Linked DNA regions of Neodiprion lecontei. The protein of the gene in region 1 interacts with the protein of each later gene in a pairwise test. Links are inferred from orthologs where the notes say so. Each region holds a gene or a part of one and is shown in the gene's direction. Other genes may lie near its edges. The genes, in order: growth factor receptor-bound protein 2, tyrosine-protein kinase Src42A and protein son of sevenless.

Region 1 (6,410 bases):
CCAACCATCATCGTCCACCATATATAGCTATATATCCCACTTGAAATAAACACAGTTCTCATTCTGTCTCACTCTTTTCATCATCGTACAGTCGTTGGACATGCGTTGGGCAGTATGTGAAAACTCTTTCATCTCTCTATCGTATGCAGCATCGTATGTGGGTAGCGTTTCCCGGATACATTGGTTAATAAAGCTGCGCAGTAATAATACAACGTAACACAATACAAATATAATACATTTATCAGAATGAGTCCTTCTTTAATTCTCGAAACGATCCCGATTCAAAGCAAAATGGTACGAATCGGTTATTTTAGCTGGGTACGACCTATCAATCACACTCGATTTTCAAACTCCTATTAGTCCCTTATTATGGTATGTTCAATTTCGTCGATGAGTTTCGTTCTACGCCGGCAGACAGGCGACGTCCGATGCTTTCGACCTTCCGGCGGAATGGATCAGTGACCGCCACATATGATTCACGCACAAAAATTTATCTTTTTCTCTTATTTGGGAAATTACCGTTACCAGAGATATGCACGCAGGTTTCACACCGTGGCCATGGAGGATATCGCAAGGAAGAATAAATACGACAGGTCAACAGTTTAACCGATAATTTATTATCCGGATACTGAATAATTCATAATATGCGTACATGTATAGATATACGTATGTGTATACATGTTGTAACGCGTAAATTTTCGTCATTGTCTCTGGCCGGAATAATCAGCTCGAACAAGGTGTACGTATACACCTATATGCTAATTACACCTATCTATACCTACCTGTGCATCAACGATACTAATATACAGTTGCGAATTTCAAATCGATCTTATGGTTCAAAATTCATTGTAAATGAACAAATATTTCTCTATTAATTTTTAACACCGTATTTTATTACAGTTCATCCATCATTTCTACGAATGTAAACTTCCACTCGCTAAACCTATACGCATGCGCGTTTATTTGTTTGTATGTACATACATACATGCATCGACGCAGAGGATAGGCGGTTGTTCGTGTTTCATGAAAAGAAACGTGCCTGGCTCTGCCGAATGACGACAGCAGTCGACAGGCTTTTCCTCGAGCTGTACAACCGAGTTGTTGCCGACTGCGCATGTCGCGTATTCCGCGGTCGCGAAGTAGTCCCAGAGGTAAAATGAGAAAAAAAAATGGCGTTCATGTTGCCGCGTAGAAATGTACTCGAACGGATTTTCCGCAATTACAATAACCCTGCAAAACGTCTGGGGTAGTCAATGGGAATACGACTTGATAAGCGATAGGTGGGATAAACTATCGGGTGAAAATTACCAGGCCCCAAAATATCGTCGGGCTGTTTTAGTACCGACGTGAAACGACGCGGTGGCAGCACCGTCGCTAACCGGGATCCCCAGGAGAAGGCAGGAGGTGCAGCAGCGGTCAGTGGCGACCGACGGCGGCTGATAAGCGTAAGCTTAAAGCAATGGGTTATAATTCCTCGAAGTATGCAATTGCGGTGGTCGTCGTGAACTGATGACAGTTTTAACGGTTTACCAATAAAAGTTCGTTCCGATTAATAAGGAGCAATTAACGCGGCGAACATTATTATCTAATTTTCTTGCCGCAAGAAGACAACCGACCGAAATTATAATGAAAGATTACGGGTTCCGTTTCTGCTAGTATCGCGTTTCGCTACCGCTACTAATACTACTACTGGCTCCTGGCACTCGTGTTTCGATCGAGAGGAAACAGATATCGTTCACAGTGTGTTGTTTAAACCATACAAACGCGAACGTGACATAGATACGCGTCTCGGTGCATAAGTAAAACGTTTCGAAAACAAAAGAGGAACGATAAAGAAAAGGAACAAGAGTTTAACAACACCAACACAACAAGTTTAGAGGTACAAAGAGAAGGAACGAGAGAAGGAAAAGAAAAATAATAAAAAATCAAAAATAAAAAAACAACAAGCAAAATAAAGAACCCAGCTGCGGTTTTTCGTTACTGTCACAAAATCTACGTGTCCGATTATTATCAACTGGTGGTGTATGTTGTATACTGTGCAGTTTAAGTTGTTCTTCTCTCAACAGGCTATATCAGAGGTGAAAGAAAAAAAAAGATAATATATATATATATATATCGAAAGGCGACCGACGGGCGTCGAGAGGCGAACGAACGGCCGATCACCATCCACGGAGTAGATCCGCAGCTGTGATTTTTTTTTCCTCATTACATACGGCGATACGTGGTACCCATAGGCTTATTATACCCAGTCACACTGCGTGTGACATACGAAAGGAAAGAAGAGGAAAAACTACTCTTCAATTGGGTCGTTTGAACTTTGTGTCGAGGTGGACGTTGTTCAAGGCTGGTTCGTGCCAAGGGAGAGACGTTCGTTTATTACCTACCTAACCGAGAACCCGTGACGACGACGAAGACGACGACGACGAGGACGTGGAGGAGGACGAGGACGAGGAGGAGGAGCAGGAGAACGATTGATATCGCACGCATAAATTCTTCGGCGAAATATAACAAATATAACGGATTTGCCAGGATTCAACTTGGATAAATAGATTCGGATAAAGAGAGTGAATCATCACCATGGAGGCGATAGCGAAACACGATTTCAATGCGACGGCCGATGACGAGCTCAGCTTTCGTAGGAGTCAAGTATTGAAGGTTGGTACGGCTCACCCTCTCCTCGCCGCCCTTCCCCGCCCACCACCGCTCTCGTCATCTCGTCGTTTATCCATTCCTCTTCACACAATGTGTCTATTTACTTATGCATACCCACATGTGTCGTCCTAGACGGATCCTGTATAATCCCTGATCGTGCCATGGCAATATTTATCCCATTTCTTACGCCTCGCGCTGTAAATTAAGCGCAAATAACACGCTTCTTATCTTATCTATACTTATACCATACGTGTGATGTATGTAAACGGGGGACAGCGCGCATATGCGGAACATGTTTCCTAGATAACCGAGGTGAAAAGAATAGCAGCGGTGATTGTATGGAGGGAAGAGAAGAGAAGAGAAGAAATGAAGAAAAAAATTAAAATAAATAAAATAGAAACAAATGACGAACGATCGCCTGTTCGACTCAACAACGTTACAATGTGTTCCACGCTTTTTCCCTACGTTTTTTTTTTTTTTTTTTATTCTATTTCACCCATCGCCCTGTCATCGTCTATTTGATAAAACTAAAGGAAAGGAGGAAGAACGATATCAACACGGGACAAGCAAAACGGGACACGCACACGCGCATACACCCGCAAAAAGCAGTAACGAATTCTTTCATATCATCAGCGCCATTCTCCCAATCACCAAATATAGAAATACACATACGTATGTGTGTATGCATGCACCTGTGTGTTCGCTCTTCGATCTCACTGATCCGCACTACGGATGGTGGAGGAGGATTTTATCGCGTTTCGGGATTTTGCAATCTAACAATATGACATTTCGTAATACAATTGTCTCTACGTATGGCAAAAGAATTTTTATTCCTTGTTAATAAGTTGGCTAGTTTTTTTTTATCATCGCCTACACCCTTAATTTTTCATTGCGTTCATCAATTTTGTGTAATATCAATTCTTTCATCCCTGATTTGCGCTTTGGTTGCAGGTTCATGAATCGAGAAAATTCGATACCAATCGCCTTTCTGAATTCATTTAGCCAATCATGAAAACTTTCTTGGAATCTTGCTTATAGGTATATCCATCTGAGTCTTTCGAATTTTATTTTATTAACAAAAAAAAAAAAAAAAAGAAGGAGAAGAAGCAGAGAAAGGAAACTCGCCAATATTTTATTGGCATAAGTTTCCTTTCTTCGGTGATCGCGCTATCTATGCTTCTCGATCGTTTAAAAGATCGTTAGTACCAAAATAATAAAAAAAAAAAAAAAGCTGCTGAATATTTTATGACAGCGAAGCGTCAAGTGAAATATATTTGTACATTTAACATAAAGAATTTCTATGAAAGAAACGAAACGACGACGTTTTGTTGCGCATACGTTAATCGTTCTTACTTTGTATACATTTGATGATTATTGTATATTATTTCGACATCGGAATGAATATTATTTGTGGAAGTTTGTCATTGTTTTCGGAGTATCGTGTTTCTCCTACGCGTAACTACATTGTCGTAAGAGTCTATGACGAAACCAGAAATCGAGAATATTGTACATAAGCACGTATGCAGGGAACTGAGTCTTGAGACTTCTGAGACTGACTCTGACACGAGCTGAATATCGTGTCCAAGTTATGCCATAGCTATTTTCTGCTTGGGCAAAACTATACTCGATCTTCGCTCTTATACCTATTTATAAATTTTCATGAAACCATGCGAGAAACGTGGATAGATACCCACGTAGGTATGAAGGAAAACAGAGCCTCTGCGGTTCTTCCTCGTCTAGATGATTTCGCGTTTTTTTAGGAACAGCGACCAACCAACGAACCACGATCCCATCCGCAAATTTTCGATGAAACGATCAAACTTGTGAAAAAAGCAACGCATCGAAAGTTATGTAACGGGCGTTGATATTGTAACGGATTTACGAAAGTAAATCGGTTGGAAAATGTCAACACATTTATAAAAAATTCTATAAGTGGCTGCAAGTGGCGCCATTTTTGTGGAGAAATTTAGCAACTCTAAGGGAATGACTAGAAATGTATGTGCAGTGTAGTAACATGCATTCTATACGTCCTAAAAATAGTACATTTCAAGTCGTACAATGACGCAAAATTTCTTGTCCATGTTGAGAAATTAAATTGTATTTCGTTATGAAATTAAAATAAAGATTGAAAGGAAAACTGGAGATAGAAACTTTTTTTTCGCGGATATCCGATTTTCAAAATTTTAAAGTTCATTCCTTTTCCTATTCCTAATGAAAGGTCAGACATCCCTGTTTGTTATCCCGTTAAATCGATCCATAGAATTTATTGTTAATAATTAATTTTCGCAATTGATAAGTTATATTCTAGAAATGACATTTCATACTAAAGAATTCAAGATCATTCACAAATTATTGTCACATTACAGAGGAGGAAAAAAAAATGAAGAAGACGAATAACAATAATTAGTATACAAACAGATATTTTTGTCTGAAACTTTGGCATCTATTATCGTCTAAGATAAGTTTCCTCCTTTAACAACCGCTGCATACATTACTACACGAAAATATCATTTTAAATACCCGTATGCTCTGGCGTTCCTTTTTTCTTTTATCTTTTGTCCTAATCAATAGGGTATTTAAATACCACCTGCTTATCGTTATGTTGATATCAGTTTCGCTCCTCCTTTCCTGCAAACGAAACTCATTAATCTTACGACCTTGGTTCGGTTTGCTGCTGCTACTTTGGTGGTGGAAGCTGCGATTATTCATACATGTATACTTGCGCAGCATGTATTATTACCACACTGACCAGCATGCAGCTGGCTCCGTTATCAATAGGAAGACAAGAGCAGCAATGACGGAAAATTGAAAAAAAAATCGGTCATTTTTTATAGCTGGGGATTTACCTTTACATACATATTCAATTTTCCAATCTCTTTATTTTCATCATCTCAAAAGAACAACGCACAAAATACACTGTTCCTTTGATTTTATAAATAACTGATTTAACTTTCTCTATTTATTAGATTTTAAACATGGAAGACGACATGAATTGGTACAGAGCAGAATTGGACTCTAGGGAAGGCTTGATACCGAGCAATTACATTGAGATGAAGAATCACGAGTAAGTTTGACGGCGTATTTCTTTCTTAATGAGTTTCATTCCATTGTTGACCCAAGCCAAAGCCAAAGCTATATGAAAAAGGCGATGCTGACTTGAAAGTGCCTAAGATAACAAATTAAGGATATGTTTGAAACAAGGGAAAAAAAAGAGAGAACCAGAACTTGACTTTTCTATTTTTGTTCCCTGTACGCAGCTGGTATTACGGGAGAATAACAAGAGCAGATGCGGAAAGGCTTTTGATGAACAAACGCGAAGGTGCGTTTCTTATCAGAATCAGCGAGAGTTCTCCCGGTGATTTTTCCCTATCAGTCAAGTAAGTTTTGTACAAATATTCGTTCCATCGTTCGAAAAATGTCTAACTTTAAAAGTTGTTAAAACAAAGATTTGCGGTATTTGTATGATTTTTACCTCTCATAGTTTACAATAATACTCGAAGATATTTAACCATTTAAACGCTTATGCATAGCTTCGGATCGAGACATTATTTCAATTCCACAGATGCTCGGATGGCGTTCAGCATTTCAAAGTCCTCAGAGACGCGCAAGGCAAGTTCTTCCTTTGGGTAGTCAAATTCAACAGTCTTAACGAGCTCGTCGAATATCATCGCACCGCATCAGTATCTCGTTCTCAGGACGTGAAATTGCTTGATATGAAACCAGAGGAGGTGAGGAAAATTAACAATATGCTGCGAAAT
Region 2 (6,565 bases), on another chromosome or scaffold:
AGCCTTGAACGTGTTCTTTTCTAATAATAAAGTAACAGCTATTGTTTACAAACAAAAGTGAAAAAAATTTGTTTTCTTCAATGTACGGATAAATAACGGTTATACAAGTAAAATATTATGTAATTCCGAAGATTATGACGGAGTAACTCAGAATACGAAGAAACGGGAGAAAATTTTTCGTGGAAAAGGGTAATCGTAATCACAACAGAAAGTTTAACTGGGAACAAGTCTTTCTGTAAAGAAAAACTATTAATTTAGCAAATTCCTCTCAAGTTCAATAATTAATTTTTTCGTGATTTTCAACATTTTTTCGATACGGAGCAAAGGAGTGATTAAGAAAGTAATTTTATAATGAATGTATAAATACAAACAAACAAAACAACGTATGTAATTAATTATTTTAAAAAAATTATGGTTTCAAGAATTGCTTTAAAAAAAGTTGATAATCTGGACTAAATAGATAAATTTTTCGGCTAGATGGGAAGTTTTATCAGAGTGAAGTTTGTGACGATATATGTTTAAGAAAAATCATTACTTCGCACCTTTAGGGATATCGGAAATTAAGTAAGCCATGATAAACAAAATATACTTTCATATTGAAAAGCCAACTCCTTATCAAAGGGGTTGTAAAATTGCGCAATAATAATTTTTTCCTGATGTTTCGTTACGTTAACGTTACTAACTTCACCCTCATGAAATTTTATAATTATCGAAGTTGACAGACATACGCTGAATTCTAATTGAAGGGAAACAAATAAATGTGGTCAACCACTGGCACTGGCATTCATCGTAACAATATAGTCGATAATTTCTCAATCTTTTAAACCTCGTGCGTATCTATGTACACGGCAAGAGGGCAGAGAGGCAGACTGCATATTTTTGATACTTGAAATAGCCGATAGGCGCGAAATTATATGGTCATAAACTATGTACGCCGTTTAATCAAAAGGTAGGATAAAATCGAAGTGAAACTTGAAAGATAATTCAAAGCTTAATCAGTTAACCCGGACAGTTCTCTTCGGGCAGTCTTGCCACATAACGCGCGTGCATGTTGAATAAGTGACAACAAGTGTTTTGATGCGTGTAAAGATCGTAGCTGGGTAAACATGTATCAAAAAATTTTCAGATCCGGTACCTTCCGATCATTGGCGAGCGTCTTTCAAAGGTGAATTATTTTTCACGTGTATGTATGTATTTTCTGTTTCGTATCAACGATCGAACGAGTGTCGTTCGGTTCTCCTTACATAAAATCAATTGATTTATCTTTCGATTGATAAGAAATCGTCTCAACGCTGTCAACAAATAATCGCCATTATCAGCGAGGGTAATTCGGATTTAGAGCATATATTCGGGTCATAATATTGTCGCAGGTGATTACAGAATTCGTAAATAAATCAAGAAATAAATCTAAATGTGCGATAATATGACGACGGTCCCGGAGAGTTTGTGGTTTGACGGCACCCTTCACGCGTATAAAGCATTCAAATACGCATTTTGACATCGTTTATATACGCGATAGATTTTTATCGTGATAATCTAGCGATGCAAGTCAGTATCAGTTCTGCCTCAATTGAATCTAAATGCTACCGGGAATCGTTGTAAAGGGATTAAGTACGAAAATGCATATCGAACAGTGGCAAGATTCGAAGGACGAGCCACAGGTCCGAGGACGTCGAGCACCGGTTGTTCGGCTTCCTTCGGACACCGTACCGAATTCTTCCGAACGAAACAATCTGGATATTCCCCTCGTCCCCCCGCCTTGGTGGGTGTTTTCACTTCGAACCGATGTATTAAAAATCGTCTAAATCAGGATAATACGATGTCCTGATCGTCACGTTATCGGGCAGAGTCTCGCCGACGTCGAAGTGTCGTTTGTGTTTGCTCCCGCCTCGGGGGCGTGTGCTCTTGGTGATTCCGCTGAACCCGCATATATAACAATATTCTGCTCGCGCATGTGAAATCGTATTTGACGGCTAGCGGACAGACGGACTGACGGACAATGGCGAACGCTGCAAGGAGGTTCCCTCGGCCAGAAAGTTGATCGTGATTTTCGGGGATTCGTTGAGGGGAACAGGGACCTGCGGTCGTCACATGTTCCCGATTTGACCCCGACGATAAATACGTTGTTCCGTTGATTGTCCGACGGCGTTTTTGGCTGGTTTACGCTTCCGTAATCCGTGTTGTAAATGTTTGAAAAACTAAATACATGTATACGTAAAGGGGTATGCGTTAGACCCAGTGCTGCTGTGTGGAAAGTGGAGTTTAATCTCTATGTCAGTTTTATCGGTAAAGTTTCAATTCGAAACACTTGGCACTTTTTACTTCGACACTTGGCAAGTCCGAGTTGCTCGTCAAACTGACAACGAATTGTGAATATCTTAATATTTTCTAGTGTGTTTGTAACGTCAACGAATCTTTGGTATCTCCCAGTTCTCGTTTCCAATAACCACAAATCGCTATTTCTTCCCTACCATTATCGCGTGTGTTAGCCACCGACTCGTTATTATTCTTGTATATAACGCAGCTCAACGGTGTTTATTTTTAATCAAAGGGACGAGCGAAGTCTTTTTCTTTCTTTCTTTTTATCACTAATCCACATCGAACCCTTGAAACGTGTAGAACCATTCACACAGACAAAAAAATCTCGCCAAAGGGACAAAGAATCTCGCCCTGTTCCCCCGGAATATTTCTTTTTTTTATCATTTATACTCTACACTTGACTGTTTACCTAAGAAATCCATCAATCTATGGACCATGCAGAGAACGATAACCCAAAAAACAGAACTTCCTATTCGCATCTGAAAAAAGTGACTGACTATATAGACGTATGAACAGTCAAATACCAAAAGACACTTGCTGAAGTGTCTCAGAGTTGAAAAATTACCTGCTTTGAGACGTTACCAAAACGCTATCAAGATGGGAAACTGTTTTAGCAGCCCGACAAATTCTGAAAAGGATAAGTCTCAGAGGAGCGGCAACACCACCAGCGACCCTATCGCGTTGCCAGCTAGCCCGGTTCCGACTCCGCCTCCGGATCCTATCAGACCGATACCGCAAATACCTGAAACCGATGCGCCGACGGCTAAAATATTCGTCGCCCTCTACGACTATGATGCAAGGACTGACGAGGACCTCAGCTTCAGAAAGGGAGAACACTTAGAAATCCTTAACGACACGCAGGGCGACTGGTGGCTCGCTAGAAGCAAGAGGACCAGACAGGAAGGATACATTCCCAGTAACTACGTTGCCAAACTGAAATCTATTGAAGCTGAACCGTAAGTTTGTACATTACTCTATTCGTTTATCTGTAACAAAAGCTTGCTTCGGTCTTTCACGAAGCCTAAGGCAGCAGTTCTACTTAGTCGGCGAACGTGTTGAATTTTTCTTACGTAGAATGGTATAGCACAGTTTTTAAATTGATCTATGCTTCTTTGAAAGTATTGAGTTTCCATGAGACTTGGTGTAAATCCACGTTTCTGGACCAGGATGTTTTCGATTCAATGACAAATTAGTGTTTCACATTTATTGCCAAATTTTTTTATTTTTTAACGTAGTTATTAGGTCCACCATCTTATATCGCAATATTCTTGACTGTTATCAAATCGGGTAAAAACCCACAGGATAAAAAATACTATTTAAATCCTAGAATTCAAAGTATTCACATCTTCATGAATAATGCGCTATTGATTATGCAAAACGATTTTCTCACTACCTCAGACATGAATTAATCAGGTTTGGTATGAAACCAAATGTAACTTAACCGATGTATTCTGAATATAAACATTACTCTACGATGATAAGAAAATAAAAATGGTGAATTTTTCATATGGAAAATTGGAAGAGTCAAGGAATTGTGTATGTGAAAATTTATATCAACTCTGAAAATCCAAGTCATGCGCTCGCAACACGACCCCTCCAACGATCGGTTTACAGTTATAGATCTGCTTGGAAAACCAATTAATCGATTACCATATGTTTAATATTTATATCGATGCCGATCGGTAACAGTGGATTGAATTGATATATTTTAATAGGGCATAGCCGTTATTTTTAATCGTGGCTCAATAACTTTTTATAACGTCGCAGGCGTGACTCTTGTTTTTTAAAATTCCTCTGCCATTAGTTTCTTTGCTCGTTATAATTATTATTATTGCATGAGATTGCTTTCACCTACTCCAAAGGTTCCTCACTACTTCATAATAACCTGATAGGTTGAGCGTCACTGTACTCTTCTAGTACGGGGGGGGCCTACACACGAGCACACGCACACAATCGCATACACACCTTGGTAGATTACTATGTAGGAATTTTCAGGAAGCAGTGTTCATATTTAAATATTAAAAGATCCCTCTACTCATGTTCTAGGAAATATTGTACATTGAATTTAACATTTTTTTTTTTTTTTTCATGAACATCGGTACAATGGCAGTTTATTATTGCAAAAATGCCAAAAGATGAAGGGGAAAAAATATGCCGATAGAATAGAGTTGCGCAAGGAAGAAGTATAATTAAAGTTCAGTTCTACCAGTTAACTATGTTTGAAGAAATTGTGTCCCCATTATTCGAAAACGTAGTTTTCCACATCAAGTAACTACCCATTAACTTTGTCATCGGAGTGAATGTTGAAACATCATAACATTCTTTTTTCTATTCGGACCCTAGGTATAACAATCATAATTTGATTCAGTTATTCAGAAGCGATAGTTTTAATGGCATGCAAAATTTATGTATGCCAAAGCATGTGGAATGTTTTCTAAACTTAGTCTTCTCATGAACTGTCTATCTTTTTCCAAATTCATCAATTTAAATTTTATTCGCTTTGATCAAAGTCGTTTGAATCATTCTTAAAGATTGAGTCGAACCTTTCGCATATGTACTTGTTTGAACTTAATTTGTATTTCGAGTCAGTGACAGTAAATTTTTCTTTTTCTTTCTCAGATGGTACTTCAGAAAAATAAAGCGAATTGAAGCCGAGAAGAAACTGTTACTGCCAGAGAATGATCATGGAGCATTCTTAATTCGAGATTCGGAAAGTCGACACAATGACTATTCCCTATCGGGTAAGTGCATTAGTTTTATTCGTCGCAACCTACCTGTCGTACAAGAAGTAATAAAGATGAGTAAAGATAGCGCAGGGTGTGCAATAATAAGTTGGGAGGAGAGAAAATACAGATAACTGGTTCACTCCTTCAGCTTTCACCCGCTTGATAATAACAATGTGTCGTCATTTGGTAGATAACATGTTCTAAAGCCAGTTGATTAAATACATTAATCTTGAAATTGATCTGTAGAGTACACGGTACGTCTGCTTGATTTGTTGGGTGAAAATGACACGAATCTTAATAAAATAAACACACCGATATTTAATACTTATTTAAAAACATTCAATTTTCTTTGGTCAAAAGTAAAGCTTCAAAATAAGGTTTACTTGGGGTAAATGATCCTGAAACAATCCATCAGATAGTAGACTCGGTGCCGTTGTATCACTTGATGATTAAATTGGTATATCCTGTCAGCCAGATTGCAATTTCCTGTTTTTTCATGTCTTTATCTCTTAGTGGTTTTCACTACTTTTCATCCGCGTGAAGTGAGTCGCAACTCACTTACTATATGCTTTAACATCATTTGCAATTTTTATAAAAATTTGTCAATTCTTCATTTCATTTTCTTCAGTAAGCAGACAATTGTTTTCAAATAATTATTTCATCGATCAGATAGATTTAAATAATTAAAATAAAAAATAAATAAATAACTATGTACAAATTTCTAATTACACTGATTTTTTTCATTATAGTGCGAGATGGGGACACAGTAAAACATTACCGTATCAGGCAACTGGATGAAGGTGGTTTCTTCATAGCCAGGCGTACAACTTTCAGAACACTACAGGAACTCGTTGAACATTACAGCAAAGACGCAGATGGTCTCTGTGTCAATCTTTGTAAACCGTGTGTGCAGGTAACAGAAAGTCATACGTTAAAATTAACGGTCCAAAATTTGTCTACACAGAGTTTAGACAGCTTGCTGCATGTGAGAGATTTCTTTGAGAATGTCATATCGTTAATTAATACTATATCTCTATATATTTATAATGAAATGCAACTCGTCGAGGCTTTTAGATATATATATATATACATCGTTGTCGTTTGTAAAACAACATTTATACCAATCTTTGAAGGGGATGTTTTAATCAGTACTTTTAGGCACCTCCCTCTGACACACCTGCGATAAGTCGAATGACTAAAATTCTTTTTTTGTCTAGCGTTTCAGACCCTGTTATGCACTAATATTTCAATTACTTTACGGTCCAATTTCTGCTTGATAACAGTGATTTCAGCAGGGAATACCATTGCGTGTGAATAAGTCATCAACTGAATACACTGTAATTTAGATAACTTGAATGTTGCTATTTTTTTTTCGTTCCTTTTTTTATAACCTAACGTTGAATGCAGAAAACAGCACTGTCTAAACTTCTGTTGGACTTTGCTATCCTAATAAGTTAGATTATAAATCTTATTTACGATTATTAAGCTTGATCCTGGAAAAGACAAGAAAAATTATTACA
Region 3 (6,668 bases), on another chromosome or scaffold:
AAATACAAATGAATATTGCAATTTTTGAAGTCAGGCAGAATTCAGAGTTCCACGATCTGAAACATCAGCTGACTCATATAATTACTTGCAGTTTCGCAATTTATATTCGGGTAGAGCAACTTGTACCACTTCATAACCAATTAGACGCGTTTTACTTATTGAATTTGAATGATCTCATTCACAGGTGAAATTAATTACGAGTACGCGTTATAATATAAAGTTTGATTCAACTATTTCGTCTACTTTATCACACACGCTCATAGCGAATGTCGGTGCATTCAGTCGTTAGGGAATTTCCATCAGCGAGACTTATCATCCCGTTGACTGACCTATTAATTAATTAGAGTTGTAGCAATAATTTAGAATTCTAATAAACTACACTCGTGATTTACGCAATTTGTAGCATGTGAACCGTGTTAGCATTTATTCATCTTGGCATATTCATGTCAACTCATGTTTCGCCTTTTTTTGGTTCCAGAACAACCATCAACATCGACAAGGGGAGGAGACGGAGGAACAATTAGTATAATTTGAAAAACTTACGGAGATGTTTTAAGAAGTCAACCGAGAGGTTCTCAGCCCTCGTCCCTCTACAGTATTAGCGGAAAAACTCTGCCGTCTGATTTTTAGTTTAATTTTTATGCTTTAGTCTAAATTTTTTTTTCTTCCTTTTTTTTAAGATGAATCAAACGATTCGACTATACGTCTCGTGCGTTAATCGTAACAAGAACTGCGCTACGAAAATTTGATATTCCATTCTCTATATATTAAAAAAAAAAAAAGAATTTATATCAAAGATTCCGAGCGTAATATGGTCTGCACCGGCGAATAGATGTAGTGTACGGTGTGTGTAACTGATGGTATTTTCCGAAAGTATTTCGTACATGTCATAAATTTTAGTAATTTATTTAATTTATATTTAATATGTATGCTAAATTTTTTTATTTATTCAATTTACCTAATTTATTGACGTTAAGTATACATATATTATAAATATAATATATTCTTACTTCTAATTTTCTACCGTTTTCTATTCCGTTTATTTAATTGAAAAATTCATGCTCAAATGAATGATACGTCTACATGCCGAATTAAATCGTATATACGTATGATATATATAAGATAAAATTTTGCAGCTCAATTATTAAAAAATAATGATGAAACTATTGAAAATCCATTTGTTCAATTATTTCTACGATATTTAGTACTTCAGTAAATTGCAACAGTCTTTGCTTCGAAATAACATACATTCAAGACAGTATCTAATTTTAGTGATTACTGTTAGAGTGATTTATAAGCTGTAGTATTTTAAGAATTTACGTAAGTCCATATGTGCTACATATTTGAATAGAACGTTTCGGTAAAACCATGAGATTTTATCACTTCTAAACTGACAGCAAAGATCAAATTATGTATTTAACGTTCCGTAAAGAGAGATTTATTTATTATCATTTCACCATTGTATCTCAATTACATGTGATATATTTAAGATGTTATTGTTAACGGCTGCTTTGTCATTTTATTTATTCAAATTATGCACGTGTTGTTGTCTACCGCATTCGCCGGAATGTGAAAATATATTAATTTCATGTCCATAGACAACCTGCTACTGTACGTGAGTGCGTACGCAATAAAATTAATCCACATAATACATTTATCAAGCTCTTCGTCTGTACCTCCCAAACATGCTGTTACAGTTTGTGAAAATTAAAACCGAAATTAAAAACATTTAATTTTAACGAAACCGTTGCTTCGGGTACCGAAAACGAATGCAGTTTGGTCGCTTTTCCTACTCGTAACTATTAATTGGATTTTATGCAAAAAAATTCCTGTACTATAAGATCTATTACCTAACAGACTTTGGACTGTATGCATCGTGTATGCAAATTATAATACTGTAGTTTTTTTTTTTTAATTTCGTCTCAAACGATAATTGTGAAAAGACACCAAAAAGTAATTAGTATTTACTGTTTTATATGATTCATGCGAACTGCTGTGACAACCTTGAAATTCGTTTAATGGATAAACTGATTCTCAGTAATGCATAATATAATTGATGAAAATATTATTTACGTAACTGTACAGTAAATAATGATCAATGTCAATGATGTGCGTCACGATGTTCCCATGCCTGGTTATAGGCCACCGGACATACATATCGATGTGCATGGTAGGCTGCTCAATTCCTTTTACCTACGGTCTTACCACGAGGTAATACTAACTACTTCGTGGGTTTTACCACGCACTAGACGTGAATACGAAAGTTAGACAAGTTAATACTTATGTCAGAGGTGCATATACAAATTAAAATAAAATTGCTCTTGAAATTAATTCACCGCAATGTTTTATAATATTATTGGAATAAATTACATTTAATTAAAAAAAATCTACACAAAATAACACGGCATATTTCGGTTGAAGAAAGAATCAAATAGGAACGCCTAGCGCATAAACGACGTTTAAAATATGCTAATATACGTATTTATGTACAGTAATGTCCAACTATGAGTTCCCCGCGTGGTAATGGGTAATAGTATCGGTACGAGTACGTATTATCCGGGAGGCGCGAATACAGTCATCGACAAAAATTCCAGCAAGATTGAGTAAAGATATGTTTCGCGGGGTATGGACGTTGTTCGATATATATCGCGTTAGTGAGACGAGTCGACGAGTATCGCAATATCGATCGCAACGCGGAGAGCGAGCTCGCGCAATGGCAGTTCTCGATACTGGTGGGTCTCTCTGAACGACGTTTTGATAAGAAATAGTTGAAAGGAGGTGAAAAATGTGCAAAGACAGGGAATACAAGGAGCTAGGGGATCGGCGAAAAGTGATATCGAGGTTAAACAGTGCGGGAAAACGGAGAAGTGGACGAAAAATGGGTGAAAAGGTTTAGCTGTCGCATCTTTGCAGCGAGAACGAGAGGGAGAGAAAGAGAGAGAAAGAGAAAGCGAGAGAGCGCGAGCGAGAAAAAGAGAGAGAGAGAGAGAGAGAGGAAGAAAGAGTGAGAAAGACAAGAAGAGATGTCTGCGCCCCGAACGACGGACGGATAGACGAACGTCTCTGTCAAGTTTTTGTGATTTTTCTAAAAACGTGTCTCGCGAACTAGAGAGAGACTCAGTCTATTTGTGAGAGAAAATAATGTATATCGAATGTGAAATTTGTTCAACTTGAATCAAATCCGCCAGTTAATCAAGTGAGATGTTTTCAACGCCGGCGTCTGTGGTGGGCGAGTCGTCGGGCTACGACTTTGAGAAAGAAGAGAACGCCGCCAAGTGGAAGGGGGTGTTTGTCAACTCCCTACGCAAGGTTTGTTTTCTTCGGATCCTCATTCACGATCCGTCTTTTCCCTAAACGATCGCCACGCGCACTTTCCACAATTTCCGAGCCTCCTTCACGGCTCTCTTTCCTCAATTATTACTACCTTCAGACTTCTCTGGCGATGTTACTACACACCAGTTCGCTCGTATGCACACGTACAGCCTTGTCAAAGTCAGGTGACACCCCGCATTTACTCTTTTCAATCAGCTGGTGTATTCTATCAACTTTGTATCACCTTTCGGGTAATCGTTTGTAAAGTAACTTATTCAATTGTAGAACAACAAATCGAAATATTCTCATTTCCATTTTATCGTCAAATCTTCAGCTTACAGAACTTCATTTATATGGATTCGATTTATACCATAAAATGTACAATGAAAATCTACAAATAATTAAATTAAAATATATGCATCGCTAACGTTTGGTAAAAAATAAAGCGCAAATTTTCCACCATTATTTATTCATTAGTGTCGTTTTATTGACAAGGATGATGATTTTAGAGTTATTGAAAAGTTATTTGTAGTAATTTATAAAAGTGATATCTTCGAAGAAATGGAGTTGAAATTCGTAATGTTAATGTAACTATGTATTTTTTTTCTAAAGAAAAATCAATCTTACAATATCAGAATTGACTGAACTTGGGTAAATCATTACGAAGCAACACAGACACACTGTTTCATAACTTAATTGCTTCTGAATCATGAACAAAATGGCAAACTCATGGTTTTTGCAACAATATTTTGTTACATTAATGGTATTAATTTTAACCTCAGTAAAAAACACAATCTGCCCTTTCGTTGTCACAGAAACATACAGCTTTCTTTAGCAAAATCTGATTAATCTTTAAATTAGCCAGAATTCCTAAGACCAGTGTGGCAACCAATCATTCGTGTTCACTGCTACGTTTGACTTCGCTTATTGATCTCTTTTATTGCAGGTATTGGAACAGGTTCACCCGAGTTTGGAAGCGAGGCAAGACGCACTTGATTATGTGGAAAGTTTGATCCTTCGAATGCTAGGAATGTTGTGTGGCCGACCTCCACCACACACTCCTCAAGATGTTGAAGAACGTGTTAGGCGCACTTTTCCAACGCCAATTGATAGGTGGGCTTTAAGCGACGCCAAGGAAGCATTAGAAAAGGGAAAGAAAAAATCGCCTCTTGTATTACCTGTGGATAAAATACATCAGCTGCTACAAAAGGTTTGTAGTACAGATTAGATTTAGGTTCTTACTTGAATCTACATTTTCAAACGTAACCTTGTCCTCAGGCGATTGAACTATTTAAATATACGCTCTGAATTCTTATTTTTAATTGTAGGAAGTATTGCAGCACAAAATTGACTCGCAAGTCAGTTTGTTCGTTGTAGCCGTACTGGAGTACATCTCGGCTGATATTCTGAAGGTTTGTAATTTTGAACACTACATTGTCCTACTAAGAGTCGTAGTACAGAAAACCTTATTGCCGTAATCGCCTCGCAGATATTTTAGTATTTAGGTTTAAACTGTTTCAATTAATGAACAACAATGTTTTTGTTCAGTTGGCTGGAAACTATGTTAAGAATATACGCCATGTTGAAATTTCCTGTCAAGACATCAGGGTGGCGATGTACGCTGACAAGGTAACATATGACTTACTGAAATTTTGCCATTTACACTATATTTAATTTGTCTGTGTCCTTTGGCTCAACATTCACTACATTCCTGTTGTACATCAAATATTAATTAGTAAATTAAATTAGTAAAATTGAATTGGAAAGTCCGTCCTAAATATATGAGGGATCATTTTTATTTACTTTTTTCAAGTAAGTAGACTAGTGGAACAAATTTAAACAAGTTATTTCCATGTCAGTAATCGGAAAAATTTTCTGAAAATTCCAAACATATTTACTGAAATTCTTTCTTTTCGTTTAATAAATACTAATTTATTCAAGATTAAGTTTATCGTTGTACATGGAACAGCTACAATAAAATTATTGCAACCCCAAAAATCGAAATAATTTCTATGAATTGTTTAATTATACGTTTCTACGTCACCTTAGTGTCAGAAGATTTTGTGGAACTTTGGGCCTACTTATCATTTTTTCATCCAATGTAACATAGCTTATAGTTATAAGCTTTATCTAGGTAATAAGTTGGATTGAGAACAATTAGTGTTACGAGATAGACGGGTTCTGAAATAAATGTAATTCATTTGCATCAGCTTATCGCTATTAAGTATTCGTACGGTTATTTAAAAATGTTTCGTATGTCAAAAATTCAATTTGCTATCTGTACATGTGTATTGACTTTGAAAAAGTACGGATTTTACAGAAATGAAGTTATCAGGAATCACATATGACATTCGTTAAAAGTATTTTTCTGGAGATGTGGTTATTTGTCGTGTTTTGTTCTCTTGGTTTTCTTTTCCCCCTCCCTTATGAAATTCACATTGCAATTTAGTATACATAATACAGAACATATGTTGACTCGTCAAAGGGGGCTATAAATTGCAAACAAATCTTAGAAGTTAGTAATAACCGTTGTTGTAATCCAAAAACCACTGACTGGCTATGCTAGATTAGACACAGGCTAAGTGGTAATTGTGGCTGCAAATGTTCTCTGCTTGGTTACATGCTTTCCACCAACTAAAAACAACACCAACAATGTTCGCCCTCTACTCACGCTGTTATAGGTGGTACGTACCTGCGACGCCCCTGTAGAAAGTTATTTGAACACATTCAGTAATTATTACATTTTCATGATCCTCTAATCGTTTGTGAAATTTTGTGAACAACGGAGCTAAATAACTAACTTTTTATGATACTGTAAATTACTGAAAAAAAAAAATTTGGCAGGCTTACTGTTTTTCAAAATAATTAACATGGTACTCCATTTGTGTCAAAATAGGTAATGAAAGTAAATTTCTTCCCTACAACACAGCCCACAACTCAAGCGGGCTTATCGTATCTATTCATTAGTGAATTATCACATGCTACGACATTAATTAGCTCACGTTGTTGCTGTTTGATACTTGTATACTAATTAGAAAAATCTACGATCAACTCTACTTGAAATTCTTTGTCTCGAGTTCATCATTAAACTAGCATGCGCGAGTAACCATTTCTGGAATACCAAGCATGAAAATTGGCACACTTGGAATGGACTACGTTCAAGGTTTATGCTAATGCTCAACATTGATATTTCTGGATTACTATTATATTGTATCTGTAATAGATTTGAGGTGTACAACTTTTATTTTAAAAAATTTTTTTTACCCATGGCTGGTATATATTCTTATAAATTAGCTAATGAATGTTTTGTGCCTATTATTTTGTTTCTTTTTCATATTTGTCACTTAGACTGAGAA

The links.
Region 2: the proteins of growth factor receptor-bound protein 2 (region 1) and tyrosine-protein kinase Src42A interact in a two-hybrid assay, tested with the Caenorhabditis elegans proteins (3 studies listed by BioGRID). The link is inferred for Neodiprion lecontei from reciprocal best matches to the Caenorhabditis elegans genes sem-5 and src-2.
Region 3: the proteins of growth factor receptor-bound protein 2 (region 1) and protein son of sevenless interact in a two-hybrid assay, tested with the Caenorhabditis elegans proteins (3 studies listed by BioGRID). The link is inferred for Neodiprion lecontei from reciprocal best matches to the Caenorhabditis elegans genes sem-5 and sos-1.

Annotation. Positions count from the first base shown.
Region 1 is NC_060266.1:3,272,459-3,278,868, forward strand, and holds the start of growth factor receptor-bound protein 2, read left to right. Parts: upstream 1-2,122; 5' UTR 2,123-2,577; coding exon 2,578-2,655; intron 2,656-5,618; coding exon 5,619-5,716; intron 5,717-5,909; coding exon 5,910-6,029; intron 6,030-6,214; coding exon 6,215-6,380; intron 6,381-6,410.
Region 2 is NC_060264.1:7,982,318-7,988,882, forward strand, and holds the start of tyrosine-protein kinase Src42A, read left to right. Parts: upstream 1-1,768; 5' UTR 1,769-2,182; exon of another isoform or gene 2,183-2,733; 5' UTR 2,734-2,916; coding exon 2,917-3,275; intron 3,276-4,938; coding exon 4,939-5,060; intron 5,061-5,794; coding exon 5,795-5,958; intron 5,959-6,565. UniProt on the Caenorhabditis elegans protein: Non-receptor tyrosine-protein kinase which may play a role in larval and pharynx development. Unlike src-1, does not play a role in embryonic development.
Region 3 is NC_060263.1:31,853,490-31,860,157, reverse strand, and holds the start of protein son of sevenless, read left to right. Parts: upstream 1-2,701; 5' UTR 2,702-3,201; coding exon 3,202-3,309; intron 3,310-4,258; coding exon 4,259-4,522; intron 4,523-4,640; coding exon 4,641-4,724; intron 4,725-4,860; coding exon 4,861-4,941; coding exon of another isoform or gene 4,942-4,943; intron 4,944-6,668. Other genes in the region: uncharacterized protein LOC107223285, read left to right, coding at 479-529. UniProt on the Caenorhabditis elegans protein: Promotes the exchange of Ras-bound GDP by GTP. May regulate signaling pathways downstream of receptor tyrosine kinase, egl-15 and let-23.